3 linked regions of the Kluyveromyces lactis genome follow. The protein of the gene in region 3 interacts with the protein of the main gene of each other region in a biochemical or structural test. Links are inferred from orthologs where the notes say so. Each region holds a gene or a part of one and is shown on either strand. Other genes may lie near its edges. The genes, in order: SHE1, RBL2 and TUB2.

Evidence for each region.
Region 1: the proteins of TUB2 (region 3) and SHE1 form a complex in vitro, tested with the Saccharomyces cerevisiae proteins (2 studies listed by BioGRID). The link is inferred for Kluyveromyces lactis from reciprocal best matches to the Saccharomyces cerevisiae genes TUB2 and SHE1.
Region 2: the proteins of TUB2 (region 3) and RBL2 form a complex in vitro, tested with the Saccharomyces cerevisiae proteins (3 studies listed by BioGRID). The link is inferred for Kluyveromyces lactis from reciprocal best matches to the Saccharomyces cerevisiae genes TUB2 and RBL2.

The regions. Positions count from the first base shown.
Region 1 is NC_006041.1:1,089,251-1,092,400, reverse strand, and holds SHE1 (She1p), read right to left. Parts: upstream 1,636-3,150; coding exon 640-1,635; downstream 1-639. Other genes in the region: ADP/ATP carrier protein PET9, read left to right, coding at 1-98; HEK2 (Hek2p), read right to left, coding at 2,440-3,150.
Region 2 is NC_006039.1:823,467-825,588, forward strand, and holds RBL2 (Rbl2p), read right to left. Parts: upstream 832-2,122; coding exon 514-831; downstream 1-513. Other genes in the region: DSE3 (Dse3p), read right to left, coding at 1,201-2,122. UniProt on the Saccharomyces cerevisiae protein: Tubulin-folding protein; involved in the early step of the tubulin folding pathway.
Region 3 is NC_006040.1:454,724-458,049, forward strand, and holds TUB2 (beta-tubulin), read right to left. Parts: upstream 1,888-3,326; coding exon 538-1,887; downstream 1-537. Other genes in the region: PER33 (Per33p), read left to right, coding at 3,149-3,326. UniProt on the Saccharomyces cerevisiae protein: Tubulin is the major constituent of microtubules, a cylinder consisting of laterally associated linear protofilaments composed of alpha- and beta-tubulin heterodimers.

The sequences.
Region 1 (3,150 bases), on a different chromosome or scaffold from region 3:
GTTGTGGTGCTAACATCTTGAGAGGTGTCGCCGGTGCCGGTGTTATCTCCATGTACGATCAATTGCAAGTTATCTTGTTCGGTAAGACTTTCAAATAAGCAAATTAGAAGTAAACTTCTTTCCTTTTAATTTTTTTATTGCTTATTTTAACTCACCTTTCCGTTCAGAAAAAAAAAATTGAATCTATCCCCCACATTCTCAAAGGATACGAACTCTAATGTTGGCTATTTCTGGGGGGTTTAAATTCCTTCAGATATTCTCAATAATGAATTAACAATCTTTTTCTAAAATGTCATCGTCATAAAAACAAAAAAGTTAACATACTCATGGAACGCTAATGAATCAAAATGGCAAACTAAAAGAAAAACAAAACTGAAAATCGTTGTCAAAGAAGGAGCAAAAAGATTCCAGACTGTGAGGATTAATATTCTTTGCTATCTCAATAAATATTCTGTAAATTTATTCCCCCGTTTCACGTTTACTTTGCCTTGGTTGTGTTTTTTTTTTTTGCTCTTTCATTCTGTTGTTTTCATTGTTTGATCATGACGCTTGATCATTATTATATAGATTTCTACTTTCACGTAACATAACAAATTAACATTCATGATTATCTTTATAAAGAGTCTATTTATTCCTTACTTACCTCCACTGAGGTCTATCTAGTGCAACGTTTTGCAGCGTTGTCGATTTCGTTAGTCTTGCATTTTTCATACCTCCATGTAAATCATGTTGTGTCTTGGATCTTGGTATTTGCGATGTGTTACCATCGCTACTAGTAGTTTTCTCCTGTTTCAGTAAATTTTTAGACGAATTGGATCTGGATATCGTGGATTGTTCATATAGCCTTTCAAATACGGATTTAGATTGAGGAATACGTTGTTGTTTGGGTACCGGCGCACTTCTCGGATGTGAGGCCTGCTTCTCCGATTGGTTCAAATTCCTGAATATATCACCGTGTCTTGGTTTTGCTGGTTTCGGTTTGGGTTGCGATTCCACATTGTTGTTGTCACTAGCCACCAGCTTGTGTAAAGGATTGTTCATCTGTTTCCGTTTCAGTGACGTAGCTGTAGGTTGTGCGAAAGTAGGGATACTTTCATGGAGCTGTCGCTGTCTCGATAACGGCGTGTTGCTTATTATATTTCTTCTACGATCACGCTCAGTTCTTTCCCTTTCATTGGGCGTCGTAATGCGTACCCTTAACCTCCTGATCCTATGCGTTATATCAGTAACCGGACTGAACACATTTCCTACGGATTTCTGTTTCTTCTTTACAGATCCTGGTGAACCTAAATTCACAGCAACACTTGTCTCATCCGCGTCTGACCCATTTTTCCTCTTCCCTGGTGTCTGAGGCATACCAGAGTACTTAGCCAGCGAGTAATGGGTATCGATAGAGTCCATCACCTGGAACCGTTTTTCATGTTTATCCTGAAACTTCATTGAAATCGAATTCTTCATCTCTGAATCATGGCCCAGATGCATCAAACGGGTCTTTTCTGGTGACACGTTCGGTAGAAGGTTACTGGCACGTTGTTCCAGCTCCTGTAAGACATTGTTCCCTAATCTTTTTGACACACCGATGTATTCAATCATTTGATGGCCATCCAATAAAGGTGGCATATTTTCCTTGTCCATGGTGTATACAATGAGAAAATAATGGTACTAATATGCAGTATTCGTTTCTATACAGACAAACGCTGTGATGTGAGTGCCCAATGGGTTGCAGTAACGTTCAGAATGCTCTTTGTCTCAACCACTTTGCCCTGTTTATTAAATCTTAAAGTCGATCTTTACAATTTTTCCATTTTTAATGTTATTGTTTTGATGTTTTGGTTTCCCAAATGAATCAGAAGAGGCAGAGGAGATGAGATGGTGTTAAACGAAGTAAAGGAACGGTTTAAAGGAAACGAGAAGAAGGTTTCGTTTTGAAAAAAATAGATTGTGGATATACTGTTACATAAAAAGTCTGATTTACATAAATCGACACACAAACGAGAGCATAAACAGCCAACAGAAATGGATGATGCTTTTATTAGGATTTGAATTCTCTCTACTGGAGAAAGACAAAGGTCGAAAATAATGAGTGTCTGATAGGGAAGAAAGGTGACTATAGGACGAAGCAAGTATATTGGAAGCAAATTGGAATATACAGGAACCTTGATTTCGAAATCAAGAGTGAACTGGTGTCGTATTTCCAATAAACGCTTCGTCTTTGAGCAATCGCTTTCTCGTTAGACACGCGGCAAATAACATCTCTGCTTCTCTGTGCGAAAGAGGTGGTTGGGAAAGAAGATATCGTAGTAAGCCAGTCTAGTCTTTTGGAGTGTAGTGAGTTGGGTGGATGAGATACAGGTAAAGAAACAACCCGCCCGAAATAAAAAAAAATACTATTATAATGTAGTTTTAACTTCTTTCAAAAGGTGGAAAAGCGTAAACTAATTATTCTGTAAATACGACAGGAGATTCATTATCGGAGACTGGAGTATGAATAGAGTCATTTTGGTTAGCCCCTGAAGCAGAAATAGAAGTGGCGGCGGAAGCAGCAGCAGCAGCAGGAACAGATGAACCATCCTTCAAAGAGGCTTCGTGTTCTTCACGTCTCTTCTTTTCAACTTCCAAGTTCTTTAACAACATTGTCTGAGCCAATTTGACGGATTTTTGGTCGTTACCCCAAACCGTAAAGATTCTGTCACCATTTTCAGTTGGATCTTGACCGATGACGATCTTAGTCTTTGTGAATTTTCTCAAGTTGGCAATACGGTTACCACCAACTCCCAAAAGTGCACCTACAAATTCTTTTGGAATAGCCAACGTTTGAGACACTTGGATCTCTTTTGTATGTTTAGAATGAGGATAGTAACGGGGCAAAGTTCTTGGAGGTACATGGACGTCGTCTTGAATGAACAGTTCTGCGATTTCGTTGATACAGTTGGCAACCGAGGTAGGGAACCCTTGAATCTCCAATACTCTATCCTTAGAATCGGGCAAGAAATGTTTCGAGGCAACGAGTTTAACAGTATGCGTTTCAATCAATTTCTTAATCTTGGCACCTTGTTGGCCAATGACTGACGAAATCTGTGGGTTGGTACAGATTAATCTCAAATTACCAATTTGTTTCCATTTCTCTGGATCCTCAATCTCTTCCTTCGA
Region 2 (2,122 bases), on a different chromosome or scaffold from region 3:
ATGTATCATCTTGATACTTAACCGCCTATTACATTGGTAGTTACCCGGTCATGCGTTATGACTAGTTCGCAACAATAATCTAGCTCGCATGAGTGATGCAAGTTTTTTCTTTTTTAATTAAGATCTGTTCTAATAGTGTAGTGGCTATCACGTTGCCTTCACACGGCAAAGGTCCTGAGTTCGAACCTCAGTTGGAACATTTTTTTGCTGATTCTCAAAGCTCGAACATAATTAAATGGACTTTAACAAGTTGCTATTCTCTCTCCCGTTGATAACTGATTACTAACAGGTTTCTTTTCTGCTTGATGTTGCTTCATCTTGGTGGTGTTTGTTAGTTGGGTCTTTCGCTAACTCTTCAAGATATTCTCTTCTTTTCGACTTTAAAATTCATTTTCGGGCCTCAAAATGATATTTCAATTAGTACCATACTAATATTACTAACGATATCAAATATATCCACAGTTTCAATGCATGGAGGACTTAAAAACTATACAGTATACACAATTACTATACCTAGTTCTTCAAAAGTTCATCAGCAGTTTCAAGCGCGGCCTTTGCAGACTCTAAATCCTCTGTACCCTCGTATGAGCTTAGGTATTTATCGAGGTCATCCCTAAATTGTTTGATCTTTTTATACAATTCTGGAAGTAGCCTTTCTGTATCTTGTTGCACTTCAACTTGCTTCTTTAGATCATATGGATCTACTGATGGATCTGATTGTAATTTTTTGACATGGAGTTTCTGTTGTTCAAGCTCTTCTTGATAGAAATGTTCCTCTTTGCATAATCTCTTGAGTGCTCGTTCTTTGATTTCTAGTTGTGTAGGCGCCATTGTGTATGCAATTTATCAACCTGTGGCAAACAAGATCTGGTATCACGGTTCAATTCTTGCTCATAAACAATGTTAATAAGGTTCAGAAAAGATGAAGGCACTTCGACCATAGTACTGTCGTGAAGTTATTGTTTTCCATTAGGATTTCAGTATTTATGATTTTGAGAAACCGTAAACGGTAAAAATAGAAAGCAGATTCACTCTGCTTGATAGGGTAATACGACCCAAGGTAGAACAAAAACATAAGTGATGTTATATCTTACGATCACGGTTTGTACGTATAATTGGGTATTTTCATTGTTTTAAATGCAGTGTATACAGCTAGGTATAGCTATATACTTTGTTACTCAATCGTAATCGTCGAATTCGTTATTCGAACTGATTACTTGTAGCAGATTGAAGGGAATAAATGCTGCTTGTAGTATCGTCAACGATCTTTGTGGAGTAGTTGTCAGAAATATCTATGTATTCAGCAGAAGGGGAGTCTGTGACGGTCACTTCTTCAACCTCTTCGTCCGAAAATCCGAGCATATCAGTGATATTTAGAACTTTTGGATTAATGGCAGTCAATCCAGCATTCCTTATGGAAAAGTGTCTGCTCATTAAGGAAGTTTCTGAGGTAGTAGATGGACTGTTGATATCTTTCGTAATTTCCTCTGAACAACTGTAAAAAGATTCATCACTTACACTAACTGGTGACTTAAACCCCAGAGCTAAGGAATCCAGATCTGAAAACTCCTCACCACCACTACTTTGATCCGACCCACCTGAAGTAACGTATTCTGGAGTGGAGATGTTGGCTTCCAAATTTTCAGTAGGACTTAACTCTGGTGTATTTGGTAGCTTCAGGCAATCAACATAGCCTGGGCTGCTCTTATTTATTATTATTGGTGACATATCAACAGCTTTGTGCGTCCTATCCTTTTCCCTTGAGGCCTTGTGGTTCTGTAAAGATTCATGAATGGTATCAATAAAATCATCAATTCTCTTCTTAATTATGGGCGAATCTTCCGTACTTACATCTCTGTTAGTGTACAGATTCATAATTTCATCCAACAGCAAATCACTGTTGCTATTACGCTCACGATATTTTAAGAAAGGTCTGTTATCAAAATCCTCGGGGTTTGTAGAAGTTGCTGAACCAAGCACGGCAGATGGTGCGATTATTTCAGTGGTAACTGGCATCACAATATAACTATTCTCTTTGCGCACATTGATAATTGGTTCTTGAGATAATGGCGAAGAAGCCTTTCTTTTGAAATTTTGATACCTAATTGCTGTCTTTGGTAAT
Region 3 (3,326 bases):
TTATTTCTTTTTGTTCTTGGTATGTTTCGTTGATCTGTGAAATGATTGATCAGGCCTGGGGAAGAGGATAAGTCATTGAAACATTCACATACTACTGTGTTGACATCTGAGTCAAATATATCATGAAGAATCACGTATTATAATGTGAAGACTAAAATTATGTAGTAAGATATGATATTATTAAAAAAAAATAGAAACAAATACTAAAGAAATGTTTTGGGTCACATTGATAGTACATATCATTGAGCAGAGAAACAAAAAGCATATAAATTATAGTAAGGGTGGTATCATATTTCGAAATTTTCCGCTTCTACTAGTGGTGTGGGGAATAGTATTAGAATAGTAGAAGTAACGAAAGGAAAACTATAAGAAGAAAGAAAATATCTTTCTGAAGTACATTGTTTATTGTTTATCTCGTGTCCAAATAATTTGCTTTCAGTGGTACTGCTCTCAAAATGATAAACTTATCTTCTGTACACATCTGATCTTTGTTCCTTATTCCTTTTTTTTTCCTGCTGAAGTTTTCCTTTATATTCTTTACTCGAAGTTTTCAGCCATTGGTTGTTCGTCAACGAATTCCAATTCTTCGTCATCTTCAACAGTAGCATCTTGATATTGTTGGTATTCACTTACTAAGTCATTCATGTTAGATTCAGCTTCAGAAAATTCAATTTCTTCCATACCTTCATTAGTATACCAATGCAAGAAAGCTCTCTTCTTGAACATAACACTAAATTGATCTCCGACCCTTCTGAATAATTCTTGGATGGATGTAGAGTTACCAATGAAAGTAGCAGACATGTCTAAGTCCTTTGGAGGTACAGAACAGACGGCTGTTTGCACGTTGTTTGGAATCCATTCTACGAAGTACGACGAGTTTCTAGTTTGAACCTTATGCATTTCATCTTCAACTTCTTTCACGCTTACTTTACCACGGAAGAATGCAGCAACAGTCAAGTACCTTCCGTTTCTTGGATCAGATGCAGCCATCATATTTCTTGAATCGAACATTTGTTGGGTCAATTCTGATACAGATAGGGATCTGAAAGATTGGGCACCAATCGAGGTTAATGGAGCATAACCAACCATGAAGAAGTGTAATCTTGGGAAGGGCACCAAATTCACGGCCAATTTTCTTAGATCTGAGTTCAATTGACCTGGGTAACGTAGGGATGTAGTGACACCAGACATGACACTTGAAACTAAATGGTTCAAGTTCGCATAATCTGGTTGTGGTAATTTTAGAGTAGTTTGACATATATCGTAAAGGGCTTCATTATCGATACAGAAAGTTTCATCAGCGTGTTCGACTAATTGGTGTACAGATAGAGTGGCATTGTATGGTTCTACAACGGTATCTGAAGTCTTTGGGGATGGGACAACGGAGAAAGTAGCCATCATTCTGTCAGGGAATTCTTCTCTGATCTTAGAGATCAACAAAGTACCCATACCAGAACCGGTACCACCACCAAGGGAATGGGCGATTTGGAAACCTTGCAAAGAGTCACAACCTTCAGCTTCACGTCTGACAACGTCCATGACAGAATCCACCAATTCAGCACCCTCAGTGTAATGACCTTTAGCCCACACGTTACCTGCTGAAGATTGACCGAAAATGTAGTTATCTGGTCTGAACAAAGTACCAATCTTAGAGTTACGTACAGCATCAATGGTACCAGGTTCCAAATCAATGTTAACGGATCTTGGAACCCATTTACCAGAAGAGGCTTCGTTAAAGTAAACGTTCAATCTAGCCTTTTGAATATCATCGATACCGTGATAGTTACCTTCAAAATCCAAACCGTGTTCACCACAAATAGTTTCCCAAAACGCAGCACCAATTTGGTTACCACATTGACCTGTGGACAAATGAATGATCTCTCTCATGTTTTAGAATATCTCTGAGCGCGTTATTGATCTGATCTCAAAAAATGACAATTGAAGAAACACAGCACAGGCAAATTGTAGAAAGACTTGGTGTTGATACAATCGAGGGGTATCTATAATCCAGTAATTGTTGATCCTTGTTCTTTCAAGAAAAAAAAATAATTATGCGATCTCTCTGTCCTTTACAAGAAAAAAGTGAAATATAATATGGGTAAAAATAGTAGTCTTGTCCACAGTATATTAAACAAACAAACTAACAAATCGAAATAGACGAGTTCTCACAGCTGTTATCTATAAAGTTATCTCTAACCCGTGCAAGCCTGTTCACAATCACGTCTGTGTTCACTTATTTAACCACTTTAAATTGTTTATTTATTTGTTTTTATTTGTTTATTTTTTTCCTCCTTCTCTTTCCTCATATCTTTGTTTGTATTTTGATCTTTGTTTCACTTCTTTAGGCAATTTTCGAGCACGTCTATTTCCCTTTGTGGGTTGCTAAGTGTGCGGGTAATACGGGAAACGGAAACTTACATCGCGTGATTTGCACGTGACTGTGATGTGTGAATTCCTGCGTAGTGTCAGTTCATCTAAAGACAAGAGTTGAGGTTGCAAGTGAGCAACACATTCCCCTAAGATTTAGAATAGTTGTCGAAGTGTTCCATGAGTCCAAAGACTGAACAGACTATTTTCTCGGATCATTTTCTTCACAGCTGACTTTCCGTATATGATAGAATCATACGGAAACTGGAATACTGCAATTTTCCCTAACTTTCGATTCTAGCTGACATTTAAAGACGATGTGAAAATTTAAAGAGAAACGGATTTCAGGATTAGGAAATTTAAAGAGGGAAAAAACGTCCAGTACAGTTTGTTAAGAGAAGGAAACCTATTAGTTGGAGAAGCGAAAGAGGGTTTGACTAGTTGGAATTGATCTGTCCAGTGCTACATTTTTATGTATATAGTAATCGGAAGGTTACTTTGATTAAGCTACGGTATTCTATTTCGAACCGAATCGAATCGGATCAGGTTAGCAGGTCTCTTTTTTTTTTTTTTTTCTTATATTTTTGGCTATCAATTGATTAACTGATTGTGTATTGAAGACGAAAGCTGTTTACATATTTAGCTTTTCAAGGTGTTTTTGTCATCGTTGATTGTGAACTCTTAACTTAGCGGCTCAATAGCAGTTGATTATCTCGTCTCCAAAAGAACTTTCGTGAGTTAGTTACTAAGGTTTCATTTTAAAGGTTTTCTTTTCAAGAAGATGTCTGAGGGAAGTGGCAATGGCAGTGGTAATCGTTATTCCAATGCTGCCGGTCAAAATGGAGGCAACAGGCCTGCTCAGAGACCTGTAGCCCCTCTGAGTGCTGTGTTCCGTACGAAGTTGAAACAGCCTCAGTTCTATTGGTTCCTTGGTCACACGTTATGCTTATACTATTATA